Callithrix jacchus: one gene and its partners. The protein of the gene in region 1 interacts with the protein of each later gene in a pairwise test. Links are inferred from orthologs where the notes say so. Each region holds a gene or a part of one and is shown in the gene's direction. Other genes may lie near its edges. The genes, in order: RBPMS, CSN3, ZNF488, QKI, RUSC1, HEYL and MGAT5B.

Region 1 (3,897 bases):
CATGGGGGAAAAAAAAAAGGAGAAACACACACATATAAATCCATAGACTGATTTTTTTAAAGGCCCCAACAATGCAAACAGGTGTGTGTGTGTGTATGCGCACATGCACATGCATGTGTGTAATTTGCTTTCCCAGATAACTTGGGAGACATTTGTAAGACAAGTTAGGTAATCAATAAAGAATTTATTTTTACATGAACAAGATGGTATTAACAGTTACTTTTTTGGCTAAATTTGGTTTTTCTTTATTTTCAGGGCTATGAGGGTTCTCTTATAAAGCTCACATCTAAACAGGTAAGAATTTCAAACTGGCATATAAAGATCACTTTTTTACTTTCTTCAGGAATGTTGCTGGGGCTTGATATTCTTTTTTTATTCACATTAGAATTTGAGTTTTGTTTTTTTTTTTCTGGTCTTTAACATTAAGAGTGAGTGAGATGTATTAGGAATTAGCACAGGAAAATGTTTCATAATTCTGTAGTCTTCAGCTGGAATTTCAGGGACTGTCCCAGAGCAAGATAAACACAGTAGTTTATTGAGATTGATTTGGTGAATCAGTGAAAATAATGGCTTATTATCTAAATTCACTTTTATTCCCAAGTCTTTCTCATTTCTTTTTATGATGTTAAACTTTTACAGTTTGTTTAACATCATGTCAGATAGTGAAGGATCATGCTGTCTGTCAAACCACTAAAGTAAGGCAGAGTCCCAAGTCTAGAATGGAACAGAGAAGGTACAAAATGGAAGTGGTAGTCAGTGATTCTGACAGTTTCCTACAAGTTTCTTAGAGATCGTAGCTATATTCTTTTTTTTTTTTTTTTTTTTTTTTTTTAAGTTAAACACTTGGCATACACACCTCTCCTCCAGTCACTGTTCTATCTCTCTGTTTCATCAAAAGAATGATCTTGGAGGCACACCCTTCTGGATTGATAGATGTGTGGAGGCCAAAGGGGTTATGGCCTTCCTGTATTTACTCAGAACAGCGTAATTAAGCACAAGATTTTTAAGGCATCCCTTGGGATTTGAGATAGGAATGTTCACTTTGTCATTTTGGTCATGCAGTGAGAGTCCAGGGGTTTTATCATTGTATCATTGTATTCCTTGCACTTACAGTGTACCAAAAGGTGATTCGGTTCTCTTTCCATTTTAAAAGATGAAGAAACTGAGGTACAGTGAATTTGATTTAGGAAAGTAGAGCCTCTCCGACCCAAGTTTTCCTCTATTCCCTTCTTCACTGCTGTTCACCTTTCAACCACTTCTAGATTTTTTTTATGATTCTCTAAATCCCCAGCTGTGCCCTTGAAGAACCACCCTCACCATCCCTTTGATTCATGTTAGAAATTTGGCTAAGCCACTGAGTCATGATTCTTCGGTATTTCGCTTTCTTATTTCTACCCATTGCCTGTGATCATTTCTTTGTCTTAGCTTTTCAGTTTGATAGCACCCTTAACCCAGAAAAATAGATATCGTCTGATTTTTTTTTTCTTCATATTTCTCTTTTTTCCTCAGCCCGTAGGTTTTGTCAGTTTTGACAGTCGCTCAGAAGCAGAAGCTGCAAAGAATGCTTTGAATGTAAGTATTAATGATGTAATTGTAGGGGGTTTCCATATGAGGTGATGGGAAGTAGTGGAATCTCTTTGGACGGGAATTCAAGTGGAAAGAATATGACTGCTCAATCTAAGAGAGAGGGATTCATCAATTTAGCCCTCTAAAGAGCTTTTTCCAAGAATTGTGATCAGATATGCTCAAAGTACCTGACATCTGATGATGTGGGTCTTATTTTAATCCAGCCCCATCCTATCCCATGGTGGTGTGTAGTGCTGCTTTGTTTTTTCCAGAGGAGATCATTGAGAGATTGGCTTGGTTGTCATTGTACTCTAAATGGCTACGCCCAGAACAGATAGAAATCCTGGCTTTTTTTTTTGAGACAGATTCTCACTCCATCACCAGGCACCAGGCTGGAGTTCAGTGGCACCACCTCAGCTCACTGCTACTTCCGCCTCCCTGGTTCAAGCAATTCTCCTGCCTCAGCCTTCCAAGTAGCTGGGACTACAGGTGCGCGCCACCGCACCCTGTTAATTTTTTTGTATTTTTAGTAGAGATGGGGTTTCACCATGTTGGCCAGGTTGGTCTTGATCTCTTGACCTTGTGATCTGCCCACCTCCCAAAGTGTTGGGATTACAGGCGTGAGCCACCACGCCCGGCCGAAATCCTGGCTTTTCTTATTTCATGAGGCTTTCCTTTTAGATATACAGCTTAAAACAAACAAACAAACAAACAAACAAACAAACAAAAAACTGGTCATAGCCTTTATTCTGGTTGATTAAAAATTTACTTATAAGGCTTTCCCAAAAGGCATGTGTGTTAGAATAAATTACAGTCATTTGTAATTAAGTAGATATACCTGTATTTGGTTTGTAGATATGTTGTTTGCTGTGTGTTTTGAGACTTTTGCCAGTATTGTTTTGGTAAATAAGTTTCTTCTTTCGTATGTTGGAAAATTAAACAACTTAAGGGAATTAAGCTTAGAGAAGGTGAAAGGAAGCAGAATGTAGTTTCAGATGCTGAGGATGAATCCTCATGTGCTGAGTCTCTGTGAGGTCTGGCTCCATCATGCTCTAGGCAGTTGGCCTAAGTGGCTATGAGCAAGGGCTGATTAAAGCACTAAGAGTGTTAAGGATGCTTCCTAAAAGGCAAGCAACCACTTGACTGGTTGCAATACAGGTACCATTTTGGAGGCTTCTGGGAACTTGTGTTTGGTCTTTGTGTTGCTGTGTTACCTTAAGGTACCCTACTGGCTAGCTGCTCCTTTGAGCAGACCATGTAGAGGGGTGTTGGAAATACCTGATATAGGTAATGACTTGGAGGTCCAAGGAAAAGTCTTTATATGAGTCTGTTTACTTTGTATAATAGTGTCATTGATACACAACATTGAAAGATTTTAGACTTTGGAACAAAAATGTGTACACTCTGGGAAGAAGCTGCTTAATTGTTGTTGTTGTTTTCATATAAAACACATAGGAACACCTTAGGATTCCAGGAATTCCACAGTCCAGAATTTTTCTGGATTTGGCTGGTCAGAATAGCTGCCTACTCACTCTGTTCCTCTCCTGTAGAACAAAGCAGAAACCAGTTATTTATTGAACACCAATGGTATACACTGAACCCCGGTATATAATGGAATGTTTTGATTCTGCATTAAATACATAAAACCTGAATTTTCCCAGTATAATGACACTTTAAACTTGAAAATAGAACCACAGTTTCAATTTAGCAGAAATTGAAACTTTATTTTAACTAGGTGGACACCTTCTAAATGCAGAAATATTCTGGGTCCTTTAAAGTTATGTTAGATGAAGTTTTCACCATGTTCTTTTCATTGTTCTTACTAAGGAAGTAACAAGCAGTTGAAGCATCACAGACGTGGCTCTCACTGCTTTACTGTAGTTCTCATGTGTGTATAGAGATGTCACTGACTCATTTTCCGAGCAATAGGCTTTTATTGTGACCTCTCATCTGACAAGGCAGCATTCCCTTAGGTGGTAGGTTGCATTTTTGTTTTGTTTTGTTTTTTTGTAAGATAACTTAAGGAGTTTGTTGGTTTGTTTGTTTGTTAAAAAATAAAGGCAGGTTGCCCGGCCTGGTCTCAAGCTCCTGGACTAAAGCGATTCTCCTGCCTTGGCCTTCCAAAGTGTTTAGATTACAACCTTGAGCCACCACACCCAGCCCGAAGGTTGTTTTTTAATATTTAAATGGTAATGGTCAAAAAACTGTGTTTCCTTGCCATACTAACTAAAGTACAGTGAACATAATTTCAGTTTTTCTTGGTGCCCAAAGGTTACTACAAATAGCAGGTAATGAACCTACTATGAGAAAATGATAGCGGTGTTTAACCCT
Region 2 (4,574 bases), on another chromosome or scaffold:
CCTACCTGAGGATTTAATTCTGTAAATCTCTTTTGTAAAGCTCAAGTTCAGTGATTCAAGTTTATATGAGTATGCGAATGATAATAGCTGCGACAAGCTGAAGTTAGTAATTACTTCCTAAATATAATATATACTTAATATATAAAAAGTTGGGGGTATCACATATTATTGTCTGAAATGATGCTTCATTAAAAATCAAATAAGCAGGTATGACACTGTATATACTCTTAGAAAAATAAGGCTAATTTATTTCTTTAAATATTTTAGTCAAAGCCACCATATTGTCATCACTATACTTCTTATTAAAACAATAAAGTTAATTATATCAGTTCTGATTTCTGGAGAAATATAAAGAGAACAGTTTCATAACCTTCCACTTGCCATTCCATCCTACATACTTCTATTGTATTGATCACAGAATTATCGAATTTTAGAAATCTCTAAGTTTCTTACATTTTTTACAAGTAAGAAAATGTAAAGCCCAGGAAAGGGAAATCACTTAATCAAAGTTACACAGGTAGAGATAAGGCCTGGTCTAGAACTCAGCCCTCCAAAAAATATATGGTCATATCACTTTCTAGTCTGAAAACACTGAATTGTCTTCTGTTGCTTATAAAGCCATGCCTAGCTTTTCAACCAGTCATTAACTTAAAGATGTCTACTTTTTCTGCTCTTAACTTTCCTTCTAATCTTATATTCTTCTTCTCATACAAGATTCCAATCAAAACGTTCATGGCTGTTCTCAAGACTTTCTCCTCTACTTGAAATATTTCCCTCCCTATTAAACCCTGCATAGGCAAGCCTCACCTATATGTCATTTTTCCATGCAAAGGCTGCTGCTTCTCTCGACTGAAACTCTCTATTAAAAGAAAACTACTTTTGTGGCATCTTCCACTATTATTCTTCTTACAGTTATTTGTATATGTTTCAACACTCCTCTAAAATTAATGCTACTTATTGTCAAGGCCTGTATCACCTTGATAATCTCAACATTTGATGTAGTAATAATTTGATAATTCCATTAATATTGTCAAAAATAAAATTCAAACAATTTATTTATTTATTTATTTTTAATTATACTTTTAGTTTTGGGGCACATGTGCAGAATATGCAGGTTTGTTACATAGGTATACATGTGCCTTGATGGTTTGCTGCATCCATCCCCCCGTCATTTACATTATATATTTCTCCTAATGTTATCCCTCCCCAGTTCCCTCAGCCCCTGCTATCCCCACCTCCCCTTCCCACCCCCTACAGAGCCCTGTGTGTGATGTTCCTCTCCCTGTGTCCATGTGTTCTCATTGTTCAACAGCCATTTGTGAGTGAGAACATGTGGTGTTTGGTTTTCTGTTCTTGTGTCAGTTTGCTGAGAATGATGGTTTTCAGCTTCATCCATGTCCCTGCTCCAAGTCTGGGTTTTTACACTGTTTGTTAAAATAAATTTTCCACTTCAGCTAAATCTATCTGTAAATCTGGCATTTTTTCTTAATCAAAGCAAATACGGCATTCAAGTCACTCCCAAATTTCTAGTAACAAATTCTTTGAAATTAATTTTTTAAAAATTTATCTTTAGGTGCAATAATGAAGAGTTTTCTTCTAGTTGTGAATGCCCTGGCATTATCCCTACCTTTTTTGGTAAGTTAATTTCATCTAACCAGTTTTATTGACTTTAAGAAAATTTTATTTAAGGGCTCTAACTATACAATTTCTAAATACAGTTATACTTCATAGAATAAAAATCTACATATTTGTTACATTTTTAAGGTTTTTTTTTTAACATTTATTTCTATTATGAAATCCAAATCATTATTCTTTTGGATATCCATTTTGTTCTGTGAATTAAGAAATCACACTTAATCATATATAGGAAACTTTTTAAATTCTCATACTATAGAGAAAATACTTTCTGAGGGAAAAACAATACTGAAAACATTTTAAAACTGTAAATGCATTAAAGATAATCCAGAAAGAATAAATATGGAAATCATAGTCTGGGATCAGAAATTATTTTAATTAAGTTCCTATCTCACCCAGACTCCAATGTCTTTAGGAAACAAAATTTTTCAAAGTTCAACTTTGGTAAAGCTTTTTCACAAGTTCCAAAGACTTTGATAGTTCTGTCTTTAATATTCAAATAATATATTTTGTTATACTCTTCCTCAATATGTCATTTGACTGATCCCTTTCCAGGGATCCCTGGCATTATCTTGAATTATATGTAAAGTTTTAAGGCTACTGGACCTAGAAAATTTCTGCTTCTTTTCTTTTTAATTTCTTGACTTGTTTTTATTGTTGTTACAGCTATTGCCTCTTTATATTTTCATGTTCATCTGGGGATTCTAGGTACTGACAAAGGAGGCAAGCATAAATAATAGTATATGTCCTCCTCCTAGATTACCAAATATTGGAGCACACCAATTCTTGTTCTGTGAATATCTATAATATTTATTTATTATAAGTTTAGACTTGCTTTTAAGTTAACATCTGTTAATTAAATCTATTATCTGCATGTTGTGTTTGTGTATAACATGTCTATAAATTTAATTCTTGGAATCAAAATTACCTTTTAAAACTTTGAGTTCTGGCCGGGCACCATGCCTCACGCCTGTAATCCCAGTTTTGGGAGGCCGAGGCAAGCAGACCACAAGGTCAAGAGATCAAGACCGTCCTGGCCAACATGGTGAAACCCTATCTCTCCTAAAAATACAAAAAAAATTAGCTGGGTGTAGTAGTGTGTGCCTGTAGTCACAGCTATCAGGAGTCTGAGGCAGGAGAATCACTTGAACCCAGGAGGCAGAGGTTGCAGAGAGCCAAGATCATGCCACTGCACTCCAGCCTGGCAACAGAGTGAAACTCTGTCTCAAAAAACAACTTTGAATGCTGTAACTCAAATACTTTGTGGCCACCTGAACATTTACAAATTAGGTTTTCTCTTTGAGTAACAGGCTTGAAGTTTAAATCATAAAATGATCTACAACCCCCTGCTGCAAGCTACCTCTTTCCTGAGCTCCTGAGCCAGATTTGTGCCTCAAACATTCCTTCCCATTTTCCCAAAGGCTGCAGGCCTCAAAGACAGGAACAAATAATACAGAAAAAAAAAATAAAGTTCATAGATTTTATTATTCTATCTTATGAGTAGTCAAAATTATACAAATTTAAACATCATTGTGATACCATGTTGTATGTGCTCTTTTACCCCTTCCCCAGAATAAAAATAGTCAGATAAAATTTTTACTAGCAATTATGCACTGAACTGCATAAACATGAAGCCTACTGGTGGCATAATTTGGCAGTATTCTGTACCATGATTTGATGATTTCTATTCAAGAATCCCTGAAAAAATCTCATTTGTGAAAAATCATTTTATGGAAGCAATGAAAATTATTTAAAAAGGCTACTTGTATACAGATGTCATTCAACTCTCTCTTTATAATTAAAATTTTATCTTAAATAGATAAGAAATAAACATTTCATGACATAATCATTGATTATTTAGTTATCAACTATAAAAACCTAAGTATGAAACCTATGACAGAAATGAAAAAATAATATGAAATATCACACTTTTATAAAAATGAAGGATACTTTTTAGACAAGCATATATAAGGAATACCTGACATAGGTTGATATTACATTAATATATCTAGATTGTCAGAATTTTTGAAGTAAACATTTTGTAATGTTCATATTACTTCTTTTTTAGGCAGAGGGGAGAGTCTTGCTCTGTCACCCAGGCTGGGGTGCAGTGATGCGCTCTCTTGTCACTGCAACCGCCACCTCCCAGGTTCAAGCAATTCTCCTGCCTCAGTCTCCTGAGCAGCTGGGATTACAGGCGTGCACCACCATGCCCAGCTAATTTTTGTATTTTTAATATAGGCAGGGTTTCACCAAGTTGACCAGGCTGGTCTGGGACCCATGACCTCAGATGATCCGCCCACCTCTACCTCTCAAAAGTGCTGGGATTATAGGGTGAGCCACTGAGCCCAGCCTCATATTACTTCTTTTTATTTTAAACTAATGGTTTAATATATTTAGAGAAAAGCAAGACTTTGTCTCAAAGCAAAAAAATTTATTGCCTTCTTAATTTCTGATTTTCTGTGCTCACACTTTCCAAAAGGTTTCTAGAGTCATTTTATACCCAAGAAATAGATGTGAAATATCCTAAACCTCTTTTCAAGAGTTTCTAAAAGCTTTGGAGTTTTTAGAGTTTTATAAATACTTGTCCATAAAAATTGTTTTCTCACTCCTGATTCTCTAAATATGTTACCATCCAAAACTAAGAAAAGCACTATAAAAAAAAAACAAAAGAAAGATGGTTTTAAAAACACTATTATTTGTATGTTAAGGTTATGCAAGAGGCAATATTTTAAATCTTCTAAGTAAACCTTAGGAATCATCTTAGTATGAAAGCAGAGAAAGAAAAAAAGGCTCAATGCTCCTCTAACTTTTAACAATGTATATTTAATAAAAACTGAATAGAAACTGTTCATATTTAAGCAAATTGTGTATTTGTTGGCAAGGGGGTCAGATGACTAGATTTTTCCAACAGAGACTTTTTCATTCTAGGTGGTGAT
Region 3 (3,877 bases), on another chromosome or scaffold:
GGCCCTGCTGATCACTATGGCAGGGAAGGGGGCCCCATTGAGCCCATTGGCTGAAAACAGGTGGCAATTTAGTGACCCTGAGTTGGGCCGGGGCCACAAGCCAGTGCTGCTGGAGAAGACGAACCGCCTGGGCCCTGAGGCTGCTGTGAGCAGGGCGGGCCGGGATGTGGGCAGTGCAGAGCCGGCACTGTTAGCAGTCCCAGGCAGGCCCCGATCCGGCCAGCCGCTGTCCCCGAAGGCACTTGGGGAGCAGAGGCAGAGCGCCTTCACAGAGCTGCCAAGGATGAAGGACCAGTGCGGGGATGCTCAGGCCCAGGAGAGGGATCATGATGACCCTGCAGGCCAGCCTGGCGCTCTGCACCTGGCCCAGGCTATCCCCAGAGACCCAGCTGGCAGCACAGTCTTCTCTGTGTGGCCCAGCAGAGCACGAGGTGAGCAGAGAAGTGCCTTCAGCAAACCAACCAAGAGACCAGCAGAGAGGCCGGCACCAACCCCAGTCTTCCCTGCAGGGGAGTCTGCAGGCACCCTGGGGGAGCTGTCTGGACTCTTCAACACCACAGACCTCCCTTGTTGGGGTCGACTTTCAACTCCCAAGCTTTTGGTTGGTGATTTCTGGAACTTGCAAGCATTGCCACAGAATGCTCCACTCTACAGCGCTTTCCTGGGTGACCCCACACTGTGGCTCAAGCACACCCGGGCCCAGGTGCCCCCACCTTCATCATCCTCCACCATTTCGTGGGCCCTCCTGCCACCCACCCTCACTTCCCTGGGCTTGTCCACCCAGAACTGGTGTGCAAAGTGCAACTTGTCCTTCCGCCTGACGTCCGATCTGGTCTTCCACATGCGGTCCCACCACAAAAAGGAGCATGCGGGGCCTGACCCACATTCTCAGAAGAGGAGAGAAGAGGCCCTTGCCTGCCCTGTGTGCCAGGAGCACTTCCGGGAGCGCCACCACCTCTCCCGGCACATGACTTCTCACAGCTAGCAGGTGTCCGTGGAGTGACCTGCTGCATGCATCAGTCAGCCTTTGTCAGAGGGGGGCTCCCTGGGCTTGCCTTCAGGGGGCTGTCACGGTCTTCTGCGGAGTTGCTGCCTTTGGCATCCATAGATGGACAGTTCAGGCATAATTTGAAAATTTATGCACCTGAGTGATGTATTTTGAAGGAAATGAATAAAGCGATGGGCTTTGCAAATCCAGGGTTGAGGCCCTAACAGGCAGGGGGTGGGGGCAGCTCTGGTGCACATGGTGGGCTTCGGAGGCACAAAAGCCTGGATTCGAATCTGGGCTCTTTTACATACTAGCTGTGACCTTGGACAAAGACCTGCTGAGCCCCCATTTTCTCATCTGTGAAATGGAGATGATAGCACTGTGTCTTAGGTTGGCATCTGGGTCACATGACCGGTGTGTGCAAAGTGGCCGGCATTCTGCCTGCAGACCCTGAGTGCTGAGTCAGCAAGGTCTGTGATGGTGTCTATACTAGTCAGCTATTGTTATCAACAAGACCTCCATGGCAGACAAGCTAAAGTCATGGGTCTGTGGGTTGGCTCAGGTTAAGCTGAGCTTGGCTGGGCTTGGCAGCAGGTCTCACATTTGATCATGTCATGTCCTTTTGCTTCTTTGGCTGAAGGGCTACCCAGAGCAAGCATGCATCTCTTGCAGTTATGCCAGGAACGTAAGAGGGTGAGTCTAACAAGCATACCTCAAGCCTCTGCTTGGGTCACATTGCCAGCGTCCTCTCAGCCCATGCAAGTGGCAGGGTCAGGCCCGAAACTGAGGAGTGGAAAAGTGCAGGCTGCCCTTGGTGAAGCTGTGGCAAGGGAGTGAGCATCCATTCCCTCCACAGGAGGGTAAGGAACTGGGACTGGTAATTCCATCCACCACCTGGTCTATAGTTCTTCACATTGTAAATATATGAATGGGGGAAATAGAACCCCCTCCCCACCACCTACACACATGTGCTTTTACCTTCCAAGAGTAGGGCATGTGCAAAAACTCAGCTTCCAGATCGTGAGGCTGGGGAGCATTCCAGGTACCATGTATTATCTACTGTGTTTCAGTCAGTAGCTGCTGTAGGTACCCACATCGGCCTTGTGCCTAAGGATGTGTGGGGCCCAGGCCATACTCTTTGACATTGCACAGGTCAGTCTGATGAAAGCCCTTTGTGGGGAGTTTCTGAGCCAGTGTCGTTTTTGCACTGGTTTCTACCTCACCGTCAGGTTTTGGTCTTTTGATGTGTGGTGTCCAGCACTCCAATGGGGCGCCCAGTGCAGAGCTCAGGCTTGTGGCTGGGAAGAAGGCAGAGTGAGAGATGGGGATCTCAGCCAGCCTCCCAGACTGCTCCTCTTCTCTCGCTCTCCTCTGTCCACCCTTCCAGGCAGCAGCACTCCCTCCTGGCTGCCCTGGTGTCCTTGCTCCCTCCACTCCTGCCTCTCACCACGTACCCATCCATTGTCCACACTCACACAACCAGATCATCTTCTGAAAGTGTAAGTAAGATGATGACTCCAATCCCGTGGCTGTCCTTCACACTTACAGTCCTAACCCCGGCAGGACCTGCCAGCTGCTTTATGAACAAGTCCCTGCTTGATGTTAATTGCAAGCACTCATTTCACTCTCCCTGTGTACCAGGCAATAGCATAAGCACTGGAAGAATACAGATGTTATAGCGAGTCCTACAATAGCCCCGGGAGGCAAGAGCTGTTTCCTTTCCATTTCGACAATGAGTCAATTACAGATAATGCTGTAGCACTTCCAGCGTTTCTGATACTCCCCTCTATACCTACTACCTTCACGGGCTGAGCTTGGCCTTAGGATGCCCATAGGTGGCAGTGGGCAGAGGGGACTCCGCTATACCACCTCGCTGCTGTTCTGCTGTCTGCTCCCGTGTTCTGACCGCAGCTCTTGTGCCATTTCTCAAGCCTGGGCTTCATTCAGCATTTGCTGTCCAGCTCTTGTTGGTGCTGCTCCTGCTGTGGTTCCACGGGGCTTCTTCTCTCAGGTCAGCTCCTTAGAGAGGCCTCCCAGATTCCCCGCAAAGCAGCCCTGCAACCTCTTTCTCTCAGCAGCGTGTCCCTGTGGCTTCCTTCACAGCACATCTCACCATCTGCAAACATCTTTACGTTTGTCGTTTTGTTGATTTACTGCATCCACACTGTCAGCTCCTTGGGAGTAGAGACTGGTTTGTTTACTGTGCATCCCCAGTACCCAGAACAGGGCATTGCATATTGTCAGTGCATAATAAATATTGTGGAAATAATTTCTGTGTGAGAAGCTGGGTCTGAATATGTGTGTACTCTTCCTTTGGCTGTGGAGGGTACCAGGGGGCTGCCGTGCAGCTGGAATGCTCCATGTGTACTAAGCTTCCTTCACTCACCCTGTCTCCCTGGCCTGGCAAGGGATTGAGTGAGTGGGTCTATTTCCATTCATTTATTCAGCATCCCTGGCTCAGCCTCAAAGACAAGTACATGCTGGTGATTTTGTAATGCAGGCAGCAGAGCAGTGGCTGGGGAGAAAGACCAGTCCAGAGCCTGCAAATGTGTCAGGGTGTGAGGAGGAGGAAATAGAGGGACAGGGGTAGGAGGGCCTCACAGGAGAGTGGTTTGGATAAAGGGTACTGAGTGCTTGGCTTGGAGAGGCACTGGGGATGCTCTCCAGCTGCAGTGGGAAGTGTGGTCTGGAGGAGGAAGCCTGGACCTTCTGAGCTCATTGTCTTCCACATCTAGAAAAGGGCAGGGTGCTCCCTGCAGGTGCCAATGAAGCATCTCCATTCTCACAGGGACACTGGGAGGTCCCTTGTTTGCTGAGAAAAGATAAGGAAAGCTCAGCCTTGCCAGCCTCTTTAGGTGCTGTGTTGGAGTGTAATTTATACACCGAGAG
Region 4 (3,897 bases), on another chromosome or scaffold:
GGCTGCTCCAAGGATTATTACTGGGCCTGCGCCGGTTCTCCCACCAGCTGCCCTGCGTACTCCTACGCCAGCTGGCCCTACCATAATGCCTTTGATCAGACAAATACAGACCGCTGTCATGCCAAACGGAACTCCTCACCCAACTGCTGCAATAGTTCCTCCAGGGCCCGAAGCTGGCTTAATCTATACACCCTATGAGTATCCTTACACATTGGCACCAGCTACATCAATCCTTGAGTATCCTATTGAACCTAGTGGTGTATTAGGTAAGTTCTTCTCCCCATGGGCTTAACAGCATTCTTCTTTATAAATATTTTTGCTCCCCCAGATTTTGAAATGATTTTATCAGTTTTGGAGAGGCAAGACAACTTTCCATTAGGAAAGACTGAAAACTACATTTTGTTTTATTTCAGCCTCTCATAAGGGTTCCCCTTTGAAATAATTGCACCTTAAATTTATTCAGATCTACTTTGGTAACTCAGGTTCAGTTTGGTTGGGTAAATCTGTTGTGTACATTTTAACAGATACTTTTTACATTTGACATTACTGATGCCATTCTGAGTTTTAGGTCCCACGCCATTGGCCTGTCACCTCCATCAGCTCCATTTCTCAAACTTAGATTTATTTGTCTCACAGAGTTATGTAGTTGTTGGAAAAAGTTTAGACTTCCATTTTAAAGTATTTTGAGATCTTTATAAAATCCATATTATTGTATGTGTTTTGTAATATTTGTGATCACTTAAAATATGAAAGGGACCAGGTAAATAGAGTCATGCATCGCTTAACAATGGGAATACATTCTAAGAATTGCCTTGTCAGGCAATTTCATCATTTGGTGTACATCATAGAGTGTACTTTCACAGACATAGATGATAGAGTTTACTACATACTTAGGCTGTGTGGTATAGCCATTATAATCTTATGGGACCACTATATGTGGTCCATCATTGACCAGATGTTGTTATGCAGTGCATGACTGTAGTTTCATTCTTAAGATTTTTCGTTTCTTGTCTTTTGAAGTCCTAGTCATATTGAACATGAGAGAGAACTCTTAATTTCAGTAGTACCGTGTGAAATCGTTAAATAAATACCAAATCACTGAATTCAGAATCTCACTTAAGGCACAAATTAAAATCATAATATAAACGCTTGGTTTTACATGAACAAAAAGTGGTGTGCTTGAAAAAGACATTACTGATGCCTTTTTTTTATAGAGTGGATTGAAATGCCAGTCATGCCTGATATTTCAGCCCATTGACTTGCTGGATGAAGGACTAGAATACAGCAGCTGTTATAACACGACCAGTCAATGTGGAACAAACTGTTTCTGTGCAACCCCTTTGTTTTACCAGACAAAATTTGAATACCTTTTTTCCTGAATTGTATATGACCTTGGTGCTGCATGCATGCTGTTGACTTTTAGGACTTTGATCTTTTAAGGTTTTTTTTCCCCAGCATTAATACTGATTTATAAAAATTTGAAAATATTTAATGAACTGGAACACTAAGATTTAAACTAGAAAATTCATTGTTCAAGTAAAGAAAACCATGTTGCTCTGTATGTTATCTGTGTGTGTGCATGCACTCAGGTGCCCTTTGTTTCATGAACAAATACATTTCACTGTACATGTTTTCCGTTTAAATCATTGTATAAAGTAAATGCAGGTCAGAATTATACCACAGAACTGTTTATGAGAGGGTTGTCTCTGTTGCACATTTCTTGAAGCATTTTTAAAATAACATGTAACCTGTAACCTCGTTTAAGTTTTCCTTTCTATTAATACTCTGTCCTGTGGTCCCATGCATGCTCCTTTTCCCAGAACTCCTCTCTGCGGCACCCACAGCATCTGTTCCCGAGGAGTTATGACTCTTGACTTCCTGCAGGGCTGGGACTCTTAGCCACCAGCTGCTGTTCCAGCACTTTCAATGCAAGATCCCCCTGATGTTGCCACATGGAATTTTACTTGTATTTGATTACCTTACCTAAAATGAATAAGGGTGATGGACCAGTTTACTGCTTAGAAATCGCAAGAGGCACTGCAGTAAAGTTGTTTCTCATTGTAAAGCTTCATGCCTTTTGTTTGTTGGAAAATTTTTACTTATAAAAACTTAATTAGTAGCCTGGCAAAATAAAGACCAAAATGTGCATATCCCTAATTGGCATTCATAAGGTGAATAATAATGAGTGCCAAATGAAAAAAATCTATTTTGGTTAATTGTATTTCTTGCCTTGCCACCTAAGCAGTAAAATATGATATTGACCACCTGGAGAACTGAGAAAATTATTTTAAATTGCTAAGTTATAATAAATTTGCACACAGATAACATGCATGCTATTTATGTCACGTCTCACATTAAATTATTTTAAAATAAGCAGTGCCCTTCAAAACAGATGCAGACATGTGTGTTGGTAGTAGTGAGGAGATTGGTATTAGCATCAAATCTTCATTGATAACTAATTTTTAATTCCCTTCCTTTTATCTTTAGGTATGGCTTTCCCAACGAAAGGCTAAGAATTCAAGAACGGTCTTAACTGAACCCTCATCAGATCTGAATTTAACAAATGCTTAGTCTCAGCAGCCTCCGGGGGAAAAAAGCTTAGCCTAGCAGTCAGTGACTTACTTGCACTTTTTGCACATAGATATAAAGTAAAATTATGTTATTAATTTGGTTTAGCCTGTAATATTACACAGTAATGGTAATTTATAAAGGAGTGTATAGTAGTATACTGACTGCTAAGTGTACTATACTGTTTGCTTTACTAATCACCTAATTCATTGCAGTTCATACTTATTGACTCAGAGTTTAAAACCACAATCTATAGGCTTTAAGAATTGCTTTTAAACCTTTTTAAGTGATAAACTCTTGAAGTGGTCTTAAGGTTAGCAAATAATTGTCAGTATTAAACATGGCATTATTTAAGTAGTCCTGCTGCAAGAAAGGCACTTCAGTGAATATGTGACTAGTAAAGCTTAAATATGTTTTGATCTAATAGAGTTCGTGAAATACTGTAACTTGGGGATTGTAAATGAATGGATAAAATAGGTTAAGGCCAAGATGTTTGAAATGAATGCAATATTAATAGATGCATATATACATGACATATTATGGTTAGTTTTAAAACTACTGTGCCTTAACGTATTTCTTAAACTTTTGTAGTAAATGAACATTTGAAATCCATTTTGATAAACCTGCTGTTAATGTTTTTTTTCCCCTTTGTGAATGTTTTCTAACTTTGTCTTGGTAATTGCAATTTAACTAGGTGCGGTGGCTACTAAAGTTCGAAGGCACGATATGCGTGTCCATCCTTACCAAAGGATTGTGACCGCAGACCGAGGTTAGTTTAGTTCTGCAGTTCTTGTCTATAAGAAATGCGTTGGGTGTCCATAAAATTTGCAACACCACACCTGATGGAAAAATGTAATTGCTTATCTGCATACAGTTTCTTTTCCTTTTCTAAATTTGTTTATGATCATTGACAGATTTAAGGGTTGGGTTTTTTGTTTTGTTTTTTTTTTCTCTCTTCATATTTTAACTTATTAAATCTTTTATTATTATGTACTATGATTTATTTCTACTAAAACATAAATTAGTCAATTTGGGGAGCTATTAAATTTTGATGTTGCCTCAGTTATTTTCATTAATAACTTTTGCTAAAATTTACCTTTTAAAATTCCTGAAATTTGGGGATGGTATTGCAAAATGAATTGAGCGGATGGTGCTTTAATGAGAGAAGTAAAGGTTTATATGCCTCCTGTGTACTTTTGGAGAAAACTGAAGATTTAGTTTCCATTGTTCTTTTATATTTGAGCCACTGTATAAACGTGAGGGTTCACTTGTCAAGTACTTAGCTGAAATCAACAAAGTGAGGACTGTGAAGATAACTTTCATGTAGTT
Region 5 (3,897 bases), on another chromosome or scaffold:
AGCTAAAAGTAGCTACATTTTAATGGTTATATTAAGTGCCTACATAATGATCTCGATTTTCTCCCTTGGCCCTAGGGCCTAGAATACAGTTATCCTTAGTTACATGTGAAGAATTGGTTCTGGGACCCTCACATGCACTCAAGTCTGAGCATACTCAGTCGATGTGTAGGAAAAGACAGCCCTCAGTATATGCGGGTTTTACATCAAGAATACTGCATTTTCTGTTCGGTTAAAAAAAACCCTGCATATAGGTGGACCTGTGCATTTGAAACCTACTTTGTTCAAGAGTCAACTGTCTTTACTATCTGGTCCTTTAGAAAAAAGAAAAACAGCCTGGGCAACATGGTGAAACCCTATCTCTACAAAAAAATACAAACATTAGCTGGGCATGGTGGCACGTACCTGTAGTTCCAGCTACTCTAGGAGGCTGAGGTGGGAGGATTGCTTGAACCTGGGAGGTTGAGGCTGCTGTGCCATGATCACACTGTTGCATTCCAGCTGGGGTAACAGAGTAAGGCCCTGTCTCCTTTCCAAAAAAAAAAAAATTGCCAACCCCTGGCCCAGCATGCTGGCTCACACCTGTAATCCCAGCACTTTGGGAGGCCGAGGCGGGTGGATCACCTGAGGTCAGTAGTTCGAGATCAGCCCAGCCAACATGGTGAAATCCCGTCTCAAAAAAAAAAAAAAAAAAATTTAAAAAAAATTGCCAATCCCTTCTCCAGGCCTCAACAAGTGGTGGCTCTTTAATGGTTTGAGATACTCTGTAGTGGCCCTTTCATCCTGAGCTTGTATAGGCCCTGATGGGTCCATAGGTTCCTTGTGATGTGCAGTGGTGTGGACCTCTGTTGTCATCCCCCTAATCAGCCTGAAAGTGCTTGTGTCCAACAGTTACCACTCTGCTCTCAAAGGTGACTAACCCCTGACCTCTTTTGAACCACAGTTAGGCCCCTTAGCCTCTCTCTCCCTCCAGACCCCAGGGTTCTTGGGTTTTCTGAGGGTGGGTTGACCTGTGACCCTATGTCCCTTCTTTTAGGAGACCATCTAGCTGGCTGCCCCCAACAGTGAGCATGTTGGCTCTTGTGAAGCGGGGGGCACCTCCCGAGACGCCTTCTCCTCAGGAGCTTGAGGTCTCAGCACCCAGGGTGGTGCCAACCCATAGGTAAGGAGGATTGGGGGGAATGCACTAGTGTGTAACCGTATGTTATCACAGCATGGATGGGAGGTAGCGTAAAAAACCCTGGGCTTTAAAATAAGACAGTGCTTAGTGTGCATTGCAGCTTTTCTGTTATCATGTGACACTCATTCGTCTGAGCCTTGGATTCCTTTTTTTTTTTTGAGATGGAGTCTCGCTTTGTCACCCAGGCTGGAGTGCAGTGGTACAATTTTGGCTCACTGCAACCTCCGCCTCCCAGGTTCAACCGATTCTCCTGTCTCAGCCTCTTGAGTTGCTGGGACTACAGTCGCCTCCCACCACGCCAGGCTAATTTTTATGTTTTTAATAGAGACGGGGTTTCACCATGTTGGTCAGGCTAGTCTCGAACTCCTGACTGCAGGTGATCAGCCCGCCTTGGCCTCCCAAAGTGCTGGAATTATAGGCATGAGTCACTGTGCCTGGCCAGGATTCTTTCTATAAGAGGATATGATACATTTTTTGTGGTTATAGAGACTAAACATAATTTTTTTTTTTTTTTGAGATATAGTCTCACTCTCACCCAGGCTGGAGTGCAGTGGCATGATTTCGGCTCACTGCAACCTCCACCTCCCAGGTTCAAGTGATTGTCCCGCCTCAGCCTCCTGAGTAGCTGGGATTACAAGCACCCACCACCATGCCTGGCTAATTTTTGTATTTTTAGTAGAGACGAGGTTACACCATGTCAGCCAGGCTGGTCTTGAACTCCTGACCTTGTGATCTGCCCGCCTCGGCCTCCCAAAGTGCTGGGATTTTAAGAGTGAGTCACTGCGCCCAGCCTTGCTTGTGTTTTAGAGAGATCTGACTGCTATGGGGAAAACAGGACTGGGGAAGAGGTTGAGAGAGATTTAGGCAGACAAGTTAGATTGTCCAGAGAGATCGGATAGAAGCTTACACTAGGATGGTGGCAGCAGAGTTGAAGAGAGAGTACATGGGGGCTGGGTGCAGTGGCTCACGCCTGTAATCCCAACACTTTGGGAGGCCGAGGCGGGTGGATAACCTGAGGTCAGGAGTTTGAGATCAGCCTTGCCAACATGGTGAAACCCCGTCTCTACTAAAAATACAAAAATTAGCTGGGCATGGTGGCAGGTGCCTGTAGTTCCAGCTACTCGTGAGGCTGAGGCAGAAGAATTGCTTGAACCCAGGAGGTGGAGATTGCTGATATTACACCACTGCACCCCAGCCTGAGCAACAGAGAGAGACTCTTGTCTCAAAAAAAAAAAAAAAGTAGATGTAGTAGGAGGAGATCCAAGCAAGTTTTGTTGATGGATTGGATCTGTGGCATGAGATGCCCAGGTTTTACCAGGAGTAAGTGTGGGTAGAAATTGGTGCTGTTTACCACTACAGGCAACATGAAGAGGGACTGGTTTTGAGGGTGAGTCATTTTGTTTGATATGTTGAATTTGAAGCACCAGAGAGGAGTGTAAATAGTGTCAAATAAGCAGCTGGAGTGGGTTTGGCACTTGGGAGAAGGCTGAGACCCCAGATAGAATAACCACGCTGATGAATGGTTCTCAAGTCTCTTCCAGAGCCCAGTCAATATTCACTGAGCTGAATCCACAAGGGCACTATTTAGAGGTGAGGCCTGGGTACAGCTGGGCACCCTCACCTCACTTCATTCCAGTATCTTCCTCTGGCTCCTCTCAGGGCAGTTCGGGCTCTCTGTGACCACACAGCTGCAAGACCTGACCAGTTGAGCTTCCGGCGTGGGGAAGTGCTGCGTGTCATCACCACAGTGGATGAGGATTGGCTCCGCTGTGGGCGGGATGGCGTGGAGGGTCTGGTGCCTGTGGGGTATACCTCCCTTGTTCTGTAGCCCTGGGACCCTTTTCTGCATATGTGTCTCCCTCCTGGTGTTCACTGGGAATGGCCAGTGAACACCATCCCAGAAGCATTTTCCCTGTCTGCAAAATGACATTTCTTCCCACATCTGTTTCTGCTAATATTTAAAATAAACATTCCTTCTTCCCTCCTATGCCCACCTGTAAGGTGAAATCTGCTCTTCTTCCAAATATATAAAAAGGGAATTGCCTTCCATGCAATCCCTTTCCTTTTTCCCATCTGTATAAGGGAATGTCTTCCTTCCTATCTGCAAAATGGAAATCTAGACCTCCTTCTTCATCCGTAAGTGGACTGTGCCAGTACAATACATGCCTCAGCCTCAGCCCCCGAGCCTAGAAGGACCTCACTCCTTCCTGTGTATGGAGTCTTCCCCACTTCGCCCCTCCCACACTGCCTGTGTTGATAATGTACTCACCATGTACTAGGTGCTGAAGCCTGGACACCCCTGGTGGGTGGGCCTGTGGTGATGGTCTGCACCCTTCCTCCTTTGTCCCAATAAAGTATGGGAGATGAATGTGTGTCTTTCACTGTGGGTTTCAGGACATAGGCTATGGGGGAGGGGAAGAAGGACCTCTTATGGGAGACATAAGGCAGATGTTTATTCCTAGCCCAGGTTTGGTTCGTAATGCTCCCTGAATAGAGTAGTCCCCTCATTGGTTCCTGAATCTCACAAGTGCTTCTCTATTCTATGACTTTATCTATTTTGTTAAGACTGACAGGATAGGAGCCTGCATAAATATAGGGGAGGAGAGAAGACTTGGCTCTTGAAATTGTAGTTCATGTCTGAGGTGAAGGAAAGGACTAAAGAGTTATCAGGGACAGTGACTCACACCTGTAATCCCAGCACTTTGGGGAGGCTGAGGCAA
Region 6 (4,391 bases), on another chromosome or scaffold:
GAGATGGTGGACCTAGGCTAGGGGACAGTACATGCAACTTCAGGAAGGAGTTAGTGTATTTGTAGGCTGGAGCATACAGAGGAAGAGAGTTAAGTCTAGTGGGGTTGCCAGGGGCCAGTTGGACCACCTGAAGGATGATGGCCTTGATCTTAAAAAACAATGGGTCCAGGTGCAGTGGCTCACACCTGTAATCCCAACAGTTTGGGAAGCTGAGGCAGGTGGATCACCTGAGGTTAGGAGTTTGAGACCAGCCTGGCCAACACGGTGAAACCCCGTCTCTACTAAAAATACAAAAAGTAGCCAGACGTGGTGGACACCTGTAATTCCAGCTATGTCGGAGGCTGAGGCAGGAGAATCACTTAAACCGGGTGGTGGAGATTGCAGTGAGCCAAATTCTCACCAGTGCACTCCAGCCTGGACAACAGAGCGAGACTACATCTCAAAGCAAACAAATAAAAATTGAGGAGCCACTGAGGAGTTTTAAGTGAGAGATAAGATCAGATTTAAATGATCACTCTGCCTGTAGTGTGGAGATAGGCTTGCAGAGAGTAAAACAGGGTGCAAAATGACCCAACAAGAGGCGCTTGCACTCATCCAGATGAAAGCTGATAGAGGTGCAGCATTGAGAGAAGTGGCGGAGAGGAAGAGGACAGACGTGAGATGTATTTTAGACATAGTGTGGGCAGGTTTTAATGAGGTAGGGGTGAGGAGGAGGAGGAATCAAAGACAGCATTAGCTTTCCACCCAGGGGCAGCAGGAGCGGGTGGGGATGAAGGCCAGCTTGCAGGTTCATGTTCAGATGTGTGGCCTTGTGTCTTCCGAAATGGCAGGGGAGTCACCTTGTTTGTTGTTTATTGGTGCAGTGTCTGCCCACTGGATCCGAGCTGAGGAAGGGCTGGGGTCTGGCTGAGTGCATCAGCACCCACCAGACCTGAATAGAGCCTTAGAAATGTTGGCCAAATGAATGATGCTTTAGTGGACCCAGCGAATCCTCACCTTCTAAGAGAGCTTCTGGAGCAGAAAACCTTAAGAAGGGTTAGCAGCTGGGCTGGAGATTATTTTGGTCAGAGTCTGGGCAGGAAAAGCCCTGGGGCTAAGCCTCTTCTCTGTAATGGGAGCTCCCGGGGTGTGAGCAACCACCCATCATTCAATCGATGCTGCAGAGGGAAGGCCCAGAGTGGGAGGAGAGGCCGAGGTTGGGGGGACCAGGCCTTCTAGGAGGCCAGAACAGTGTACCAGAGCATCCTAGAGGGGCCTGTGACCCAGATGCCGCCTCCCCCTCGCCCCCGGCCGCACTGCGTGGGAGGAGGTGGCAGCTGCAGGCCGGGCGGAGGGCGGGCGGCCGGCGCGCCCGGCCCGTGGGAAGCGGCGGCATCTGCTCTTTCCACGCTAGTTCCCAGCGGCTCCCTCTGAAACCCTACCCTCCCGGCCCGTCCCCGCCGCCGCCGGCCAGTGCCCTCACCCGCCCCGCCCCAGGGATCGGGTTGCAGGAGCCTGAGCTGCCGCGCTGCTGAGCGCTGTTCCCCCACCCCCGACGGCCGCCGCGAGGGGCCAGGGGCGAGGCGGAGCAGATCCCAACCAAAGACCCAGAGTGGGCCCAGAGTGCGTGAGAGGACTTGGCCCGGGTTGAAATGAGCAGGGGGAAAAGGGGAGAGCTTGCTCCTCCTGGGACCCTGCGGCTCCTCCTGGTCCCAGGTCCGCCCGGGCCAAGGAGACAGTCCCTCAACCCTGAAAAATCAGCTTTTCTCTTCCTTTCCAGCCAGATGGCCAGGCCGCTGTCCACCCCCAGCCCTTCGCAGATGCAAGCCAGGAAGAAACGCAGAGGGGTGAGTGTCCGTCTCATCTCAGCTTCTGAGTTGCCCTACAAAATGAATCCCCTGCAGTCTGGCAGGGAGAACCCTGGGCAGAAACTTCACTCTAAGCTAACTGCCTGGATTCAAATCCCGGCCCTGCCAGTAGTTATCAGGGTGATTCTGGGCAAGCCTCTTAACCTCTCTGGGCCTGATTTGCTCCTCTGTGTCACTGGAATAATGACAGGGCCCAGCTCAAAGGGCTGCTTTGCAGGTTAAGTGCATTAATGTAACACTCTGAACAATAGCAGACACACAATAGGCGGTTATGATTGTTGTTCCAGCCTGCCCACCATCCTATCTTCTGTCTCCTCTCTCAGTCCAGAACTTTCATCCCCTCCCAGTGTGCTGGGGTGGGGGAGGGGACAGCAGAAGGATCCCCTTGCTACTGCTGTCTGTCCCTTGTGTCCAGCCCCACTTTCCTCCCAGCATACAGCTGTGCTTCTGCACTGCCTGACAATCACTGACTGTAAGCCCTTAGGCCAACCACTTCTTTCCAGCCCTTATTTTCTTTATCTGTAAAATGGGTCATATCTGTCCTGCTCTTAGTGTTCTGCTACCAGTATTATGAGGGGAGAATGAGAGTGTGTGAATGGAAGGGCTCTGCAGCTGGAGAGAGCAACACCTTAGCTGGGTGTGGTGGCTCATGCCTGTAATCCTGGCACTTTGAGAGACTGAGGTGGGTGGATCACCTGAGGTCAGGAGTTCGAGACCAGCTTGACTCGTCTTTACTAAAAATACAAAAAAATAAAATTAGCGTCGTGATCACATGCCTATAATTCCAGCTACTCGGGAGGCTGAGGCAGGAGAATTGCTTGAATTCTGGAGGCAGAGGTTGCAGTGAGCCAGGATCGTGCCATTGCACTCCAGCCTGGGCAGTAAGAGCAAAACTCCGTCTCAAAAAGAGAGAGAGAGAGAGAGAAAGCAACACCTGAGACTCCTTAAACCACCTCATGACCTCGCAGATTACAAGGTCACCCTCCTGCTGACCCAGCAGGGACCTCCAGGGCCTGGTGTCCTCATTCTGATTGGCTGTGCCCTTCTGTACCAGTGGTTAAACATCTTGAGTATCACCCCTATAGACCAAGACAGGAGATCTGAGTTGTGCTCCCACCTCTGCACTTTCTTGTTGTGTGACCTTAAGCAAATTACTGTCCTTCTATGAGCCTTGGTTTTCTCCACCGTAAAGTAAGACTAGATTGATCTCCCTCACAAGAATACTGTGTGGGTAAATATGAGTTGATGTCTATCGAGGCACTTTAGAAACTGTGGTGACGCACCTGTGAATAACTTCTTGTCGTGACTGTTTAGATCATAGAGAAACGGCGTCGAGACCGCATCAACAGCAGCCTTTCTGAATTGCGACGCCTGGTCCCCACTGCCTTTGAGAAACAGGTATGTGACATTGCTGATTGTGCTAAAGGAAATACTGTGTGGGCGGCAGATAAGGTTCGTTTCTCATGGCATCTCTTGTTGATTGGTAGCGGCTGCCTGAGATGCTGTGGTCATTTACCAATATCTGCCACTGGCAGGGTATAAAGAATGGAAATTTACACTCAGGTGGCTTTATGTCCATCATCCCATTGAATTGACTCCTCCAAATGATCCTGAAAGGTAGGGATTATTATGCCCATAGCACAGGTAAGGAAACTGAAGCACAGAGAGGTGCAGTAACTTATCCCAGATCACACAGCTATTAAGTAGCAGCACGGGAGTGTGTGATTCTCAAGCCACCATCCCTCTGCACTACGGACATTTCCAGAGTGATTTGAAAGTGGAACAGGCTGCTCAGGGAGTGAGCACTCTGCCATCCATCGAGCATGTTAGGGTGGGGGAACTACAGTGAGGAATCAGACAGTGGACTCAGCCACAGAGATTCTCACCCTGTGCACCAAGGCATAGGTCACAGGTCCTCTGCCTTCCCTTATGCTGGTGAGAACAAGTTAGTCATTCCACAGATGTTCACTAAAACCACCACAGGACCAGCCATGAACTAGACCTAGTATCTGCCCTCAAGGGACTCCCATGGAGCGTCTGATCTTCAGACTTCACCTGGGAAGCTTAGGAAGCATTTCCTGAGAGAGAAAAGAGGAAGAGCAGGTGCTCTGGGGATAAGACAGTGAGCTGGATCTTAGGCACATTGAGTCTGAAGTTGGATTCCCAGAAGAGCTGGTTTAGGAGGCATTCTGAAGATGGTGGTTAAAACCATGGAGGTGACAAACCCCTGTGCCGGGAGCAGCAGAGTGCCAAGTGACACAGAAGGGACACTACTGTGTTAAGAGACAGGCAGAGCAGCCAGGTGCAGTGGCTCACACCTGTAATTCCAGCACTTTGGGAGGTCAAGGCGGGCGGATCACAAGGTCAGGAATTTGAGACTAGCCTAGCCAACATGGTGAAACCCCACGTCTACCAAAAATACAAAAAAATTAGCTGGACATAGTGGCGTGCACCTGTAATCCCAGCTACTCAGGAGGCTGAGGCAGGAGAATCACTGAACCCAGAAGTCATAGGTTGCTGTGAGCCAAGGTCAGGCCACTGCAC
Region 7 (3,897 bases), on another chromosome or scaffold:
ATATTAAAATGCATAAAACAAGTCTTGTGTAAAGATACAAACAAGCGTGGAACTGGAGGGCGGGGAGTGGAGGGGCGAGGCCCAGGGGTCTCTGGCATGACATGTGGGGCTCTTTCCGGGTAGCCTGGCTCCACACAAGATGGGGTTCCTCGCCCTGATCTGGGGTTGGTGGGAGGGTGCCCCTTTCAGCTCTGCCAGTTCATCAAGTCCTCTGATTGGTTCAAGGTCCCAGAGGAGCCCCAAGGCTGTGCTGCTGAGCTCAGTGCTCCTGTTTTGGGCCTAGGATTGATGAGGGAAGCAGCAGAACTCTGGGTCTGGGCTTGAGGGAGGGAGGGTTCTGTGCCTCGTTCCCTCCTGTACCCCTGGGGTTACCCCAGAGCCTGGATCCTCGTAGATAATCCACAACTCCGTGTTGAAAGCATGAACAAGAGAGTCCTGTTCTGGCCAGGACAGCACACACACCTGTCACACAGGTGTGAGGGCACAGGTGTAAGGACACCCTGGCCAGTCCATGGTTCAGGCTGATGACCCTGTGTGCACCTGCCTAGGAGAGATGTGTGTTGGGGGGATCGTGGGCACGGGGCCGTGTGGCCCTGCCATGGAGATCTTACCATCTAGTAGTGGACATGGATGATGGTGTCCAAGCGACCTCATGACTGCTGCAGCAAGGCCCCTGCACAGCACCCAGGGTGGCCTGGGTGATTGATGGGATCCAGGTTGGCCTTGCCTGGACCAATTCCTTGCCCTCTGGCTGGCATCGGGCCCTGCTGTGTCCATCACTGGTTCTCAAACTTCAGCATGCAGTGGAATCTTCAGGAGACTTTGCTTAAACAGCTTGCTTGCCCCATCCCCAGAGTGTCTGATTCAGTCATTTGGGGTCTGGACTTGGCACTGGCATTTCCAAGGATTCTCAGGTGATGCCAGCGGCTGGTCTGGGGACCACACTTTGAGGACTGCAGCTGTTAATGAACCAGCTCTGCCTGGAGGCTAGAGCCCGCCTGCCTCACGCCTAAGTGTGCGTCATTCTGCCTCGTGGTTTTCCGTGTGGCTGTGGGCCAGCTCCCTGTAGTCGAGCTCTCTTTATCCTATAGTGAGGGGAGCCCTCCTGGGCCTGGGAGCTCAGCCCCTACCCTTTCGTTCTCCCTTGCCTCCTTCACTCATGTACTCACTCATAAAGCATTTGTGCAGTGCGTACTTGGTGGAGCGCTGGGGCATGATGGTGCTGCCTGCCCTTCTGACATGCTTCCTTCCTCTCTGCAGGCTTTTTGTCCTGGGCATCGGCTTCTTCACTCTCTGTTTCCTGATGACCTCTCTAGGAGGCCAGTTCTCCACCCGGCGCCTGGGGGACTCGCCATTCACCATCCGCACAGAAGGTACCTTGGTGGGGTAAGGGGAGTGTGAGATGAGTGAGGGTGTTTGTGGGTCAAAGAGGAAGTGCCTCTGAGCCTAGCCCTGTTCCTGGCTTTCTGGCCACCCTGTAGATGGATGTGAGTGGTGGGGTCCTGGGCTTGGGCTGTATGACCCTCAGTGTGCTTTGGCTCTGGTCTGGCAGTGATGATCAGGCCTCCTCTGGCCTGGATTCTCAGGCCAGGCTGGGGCCTTTAAGCCAGCATCTCCCGGGGCTCAGAAGAGGCTGCCAGTGTCGCTTCTTTAGTTGGGTGTCGGGGGTAAGAGGTCTCTGGATATGACATCTGTCTCTTTGAGGCATGCATATCCTCGCCTTTGGCCCAGCCTGTGGCCACAGTAGGGACAGGCCCAGCCCTGGGCTTAAATGTTTTATCTATGAGTCCTTGGGACACAGCTCCCCCTTCCAGGCCCCATCACTCCTTGCCCACACAATATTTGCAAGGCAGTGGAATGGAGATCAGAGCATGGGCTTTGGGGGTCTGGGGGGTCTGGGCTTACATCCTAGACATCACCTACCAGCTGTGTGCCTTTGGCCGAGTCACCTGGCTTCCCTACAGAGAAGGGCAGCAGTGACCTTCTGCAGAGATTGGATTGAAGGAGCTCACACGTGGACATCACCCAGCATGGCTGGAGCCACGTGGCATGAGAGTGACCAGCTGGGAGCCCTCCTCCTGAAGCTGGGCCTCTCCGTACCTCATCTCACCCAAGGAGGGGTGGGGGTCAGAACTGAGTCCTGCCCACTGTGTCATGGGGATTCTTCTGATCACTGGTCTAAAGGAGGAACATGGGGTAGTGGGGAAACTGAGGTGAGTGGGTTTCTGGAACTGTTTGAGGGCTGGCTCTGTGAGATTCCCCTGCCCCTTGGCAAAGTCTCTCCTTGAAGTCCACCTTCTTGAATTCGCAGGGCTTGGCTACCTGGCTCCCCTGTTCCTGGCAATGAATATCATAGACATCCCAAGTTGAATAGGTTGTCATCTGGGGCGGTTGCTGAGGGGCTCTTATTATGCCATCTGCCATCTCATCATTAGATTCATTGCTCTGGTTTCACATGCACTTCTTTAAACTTGCAAAAGCTCTCAGAAGGAATCTCACACTTATTAGTCATTCAAGCCTGAGTGTAAGTTAATTTATCCCATCTCTGACTTGCAGAGATTTCTCAATCTCTGAGGCTCCAAATTTTCCTCTGGTAAATGGGATGGTAATACCCACTTCCCAGGCTCATCTCGAAGATACGCTAAGATAAAGCATGGGAAGGGGCCTCAGCAGCATCTGTCAAATGAGCACTCCATCAATACTTAATGGATGTGTCAAGCCTGAAACGGGGGCACTGCAGCAAAGCGTGTTTACAAAAGAGGACCAAGGAGGTGCCAGAATATCTATGTGTGAGAGGCTGAGGATTGAGGTGGGTGGGGGTGGGATGGGGCAGTTGCAAACGTGCACTGGAAGGGTGGCTTGGGGAGGTCTGGTGGGAAAAGTGGTGTATGGGAAGATGGGCTGTAGACAGAGATTCATAAACTACCTGGGTGCCACCCTGGAAAGGGGTGTGCCCATCTGGGTGGGCTGTACAGAGGCCTTGAGGAAGCTGAACCTCCAGAAACATCAGGGGTCTAAGAGGTGGGAGTCGGGGTGGGGAGGAGGGATTTTTGATTGGGCTCAGGTTTTTCTGCTCATCTCCCTAAGGAGGTTGGAGAGTCAAGGCAACACTCCTACCCCATGGCTCTGGCCCCATCTGGGCAGGATCAGGCTCAGTGGCCCAGAATTGCAAGGGGTGTGGGTGCTCTGCTGTGCTCTGTGCTGTGCAGTTTTGCCTGGGTGTCAGGGTGGGGGTCCAACCCCAGCTGCAGGTCTGGGTCTAAAGAGGGATGGAACCACAGAGGGAAGAGCACGTGCCCAAGGTCATGTAGCTGGACTAGAGATGTGTGTGTGTGTGAACAATCTATACAACTAACAACCCAGATCAAGGAACAGAACATGATCAGCCCCCAAGTGTCCCCATGCCACTTCACAGTCATTACTCACCCAAGGATGGTCGAGACCTGACTTCTGATCACATAGAGGAGTTCTGCCTGTTTTTTGGACTTTATGAGAATGAAATTGTGTTGGGAGCTGATAGGGTTTGGCTGTGTCCCCACCTAAATCTCATCTTGAATCGTAATTACCATAATCTCCACGTCTGGTGGGGTGGACTCTGTGGGAGGTAATTGAATCATGGGGGTGGTTACCTCCATGCTGTTCTTGTGATAGTGAGTGAGTTCTCACAAGATCTGATTTTATTTTTCTTTCTCTGAGATGGAGTCTCGCTCTGTAGCCCAGGTCAGAGTGCAGTGGTGCGATCTCACTGCAGCCTCCACCTCCTGGGTCCTGGTTCAAACAATTCTCCTGCCTCAGCCATCCGAATAGCTGGGATTTCAGGTGTGTGCCACCATACCCAGCTAATTTTTGTATCTTTAGTAGAGATGGGCTGGTTTTGAACTCCTGATCTCGTGATCC

The links.
Region 2: the proteins of RBPMS (region 1) and CSN3 interact in binary tests that used the Homo sapiens proteins (3 or more experiments, as listed by UniProt). The two-hybrid records come from large-scale screens. The link is inferred for Callithrix jacchus from reciprocal best matches to the Homo sapiens genes RBPMS and CSN3.
Region 3: the proteins of RBPMS (region 1) and ZNF488 interact in binary tests that used the Homo sapiens proteins (3 or more experiments, as listed by UniProt). The two-hybrid records come from large-scale screens. The link is inferred for Callithrix jacchus from reciprocal best matches to the Homo sapiens genes RBPMS and ZNF488.
Region 4: the proteins of RBPMS (region 1) and QKI interact in binary tests that used the Homo sapiens proteins (3 or more experiments, as listed by UniProt). The link is inferred for Callithrix jacchus from reciprocal best matches to the Homo sapiens genes RBPMS and QKI.
Region 5: the proteins of RBPMS (region 1) and RUSC1 interact in binary tests that used the Homo sapiens proteins (3 or more experiments, as listed by UniProt). The two-hybrid records come from large-scale screens. The link is inferred for Callithrix jacchus from reciprocal best matches to the Homo sapiens genes RBPMS and RUSC1.
Region 6: the proteins of RBPMS (region 1) and HEYL interact in binary tests that used the Homo sapiens proteins (3 or more experiments, as listed by UniProt). The two-hybrid records come from large-scale screens. The link is inferred for Callithrix jacchus from reciprocal best matches to the Homo sapiens genes RBPMS and HEYL.
Region 7: the proteins of RBPMS (region 1) and MGAT5B interact in a two-hybrid assay, tested with the Homo sapiens proteins (2 studies listed by BioGRID and IntAct). The two-hybrid records come from large-scale screens. The link is inferred for Callithrix jacchus from reciprocal best matches to the Homo sapiens genes RBPMS and MGAT5B.

The regions. Positions count from the first base shown.
Region 1 is NC_133514.1:31,625,639-31,629,535, forward strand, and holds part of RBPMS (RNA-binding protein with multiple splicing), read left to right. Parts: intron 1-255; coding exon 256-294; intron 295-1,509; coding exon 1,510-1,572; intron 1,573-3,897.
Region 2 is NC_133504.1:127,884,743-127,889,316, reverse strand, and holds the start of CSN3 (kappa-casein), read left to right. Parts: upstream 1-1,581; coding exon 1,582-1,635; intron 1,636-4,574. UniProt on the Homo sapiens protein: Kappa-casein stabilizes micelle formation, preventing casein precipitation in milk.
Region 3 is NC_133513.1:41,225,641-41,229,517, reverse strand, and holds the end of ZNF488 (zinc finger protein 488), read left to right. Parts: 5' UTR 1-16; coding exon 17-985; 3' UTR 986-3,257; downstream 3,258-3,877. UniProt on the Homo sapiens protein: Transcriptional repressor. Plays a role in oligodendrocyte differentiation, together with OLIG2. Mediates Notch signaling-activated formation of oligodendrocyte precursors.
Region 4 is NC_133505.1:170,109,494-170,113,390, forward strand, and holds part of QKI (KH domain-containing RNA-binding protein QKI), read left to right. Parts: coding exon 1-266; intron 267-1,214; coding exon of another isoform or gene 1,215-1,258; exon of another isoform or gene 1,259-2,487; coding exon of another isoform or gene 2,488-2,513; exon of another isoform or gene 2,514-3,262; coding exon 3,263-3,337; exon of another isoform or gene 3,338-3,897. UniProt on the Homo sapiens protein: RNA reader protein, which recognizes and binds specific RNAs, thereby regulating RNA metabolic processes, such as pre-mRNA splicing, circular RNA (circRNA) formation, mRNA export, mRNA stability and/or translation.
Region 5 is NC_133519.1:15,756,165-15,760,061, forward strand, and holds the end of RUSC1 (AP-4 complex accessory subunit RUSC1), read left to right. Parts: intron 1-1,033; coding exon 1,034-1,159; intron 1,160-2,836; coding exon 2,837-3,005; 3' UTR 3,006-3,545; downstream 3,546-3,897. UniProt on the Homo sapiens protein: Associates with the adapter-like complex 4 (AP-4) and may therefore play a role in vesicular trafficking of proteins at the trans-Golgi network. Signaling adapter which plays a role in neuronal differentiation.
Region 6 is NC_133508.1:76,172,030-76,176,420, reverse strand, and holds the start of HEYL (hairy/enhancer-of-split related with YRPW motif-like protein), read left to right. Parts: upstream 1-1,527; 5' UTR 1,528-1,631; coding exon 1,632-1,826; intron 1,827-3,161; coding exon 3,162-3,245; intron 3,246-4,391. UniProt on the Homo sapiens protein: Downstream effector of Notch signaling which may be required for cardiovascular development. Transcriptional repressor which binds preferentially to the canonical E box sequence 5'-CACGTG-3'.
Region 7 is NC_133506.1:132,718,987-132,722,883, forward strand, and holds part of MGAT5B (alpha-1,6-mannosylglycoprotein 6-beta-N-acetylglucosaminyltransferase B), read left to right. Parts: intron 1-1,065; exon of another isoform or gene 1,066-1,159; coding exon of another isoform or gene 1,160-1,260; coding exon 1,261-1,373; intron 1,374-3,897. UniProt on the Homo sapiens protein: Glycosyltransferase that acts on alpha-linked mannose of N-glycans and O-mannosyl glycans.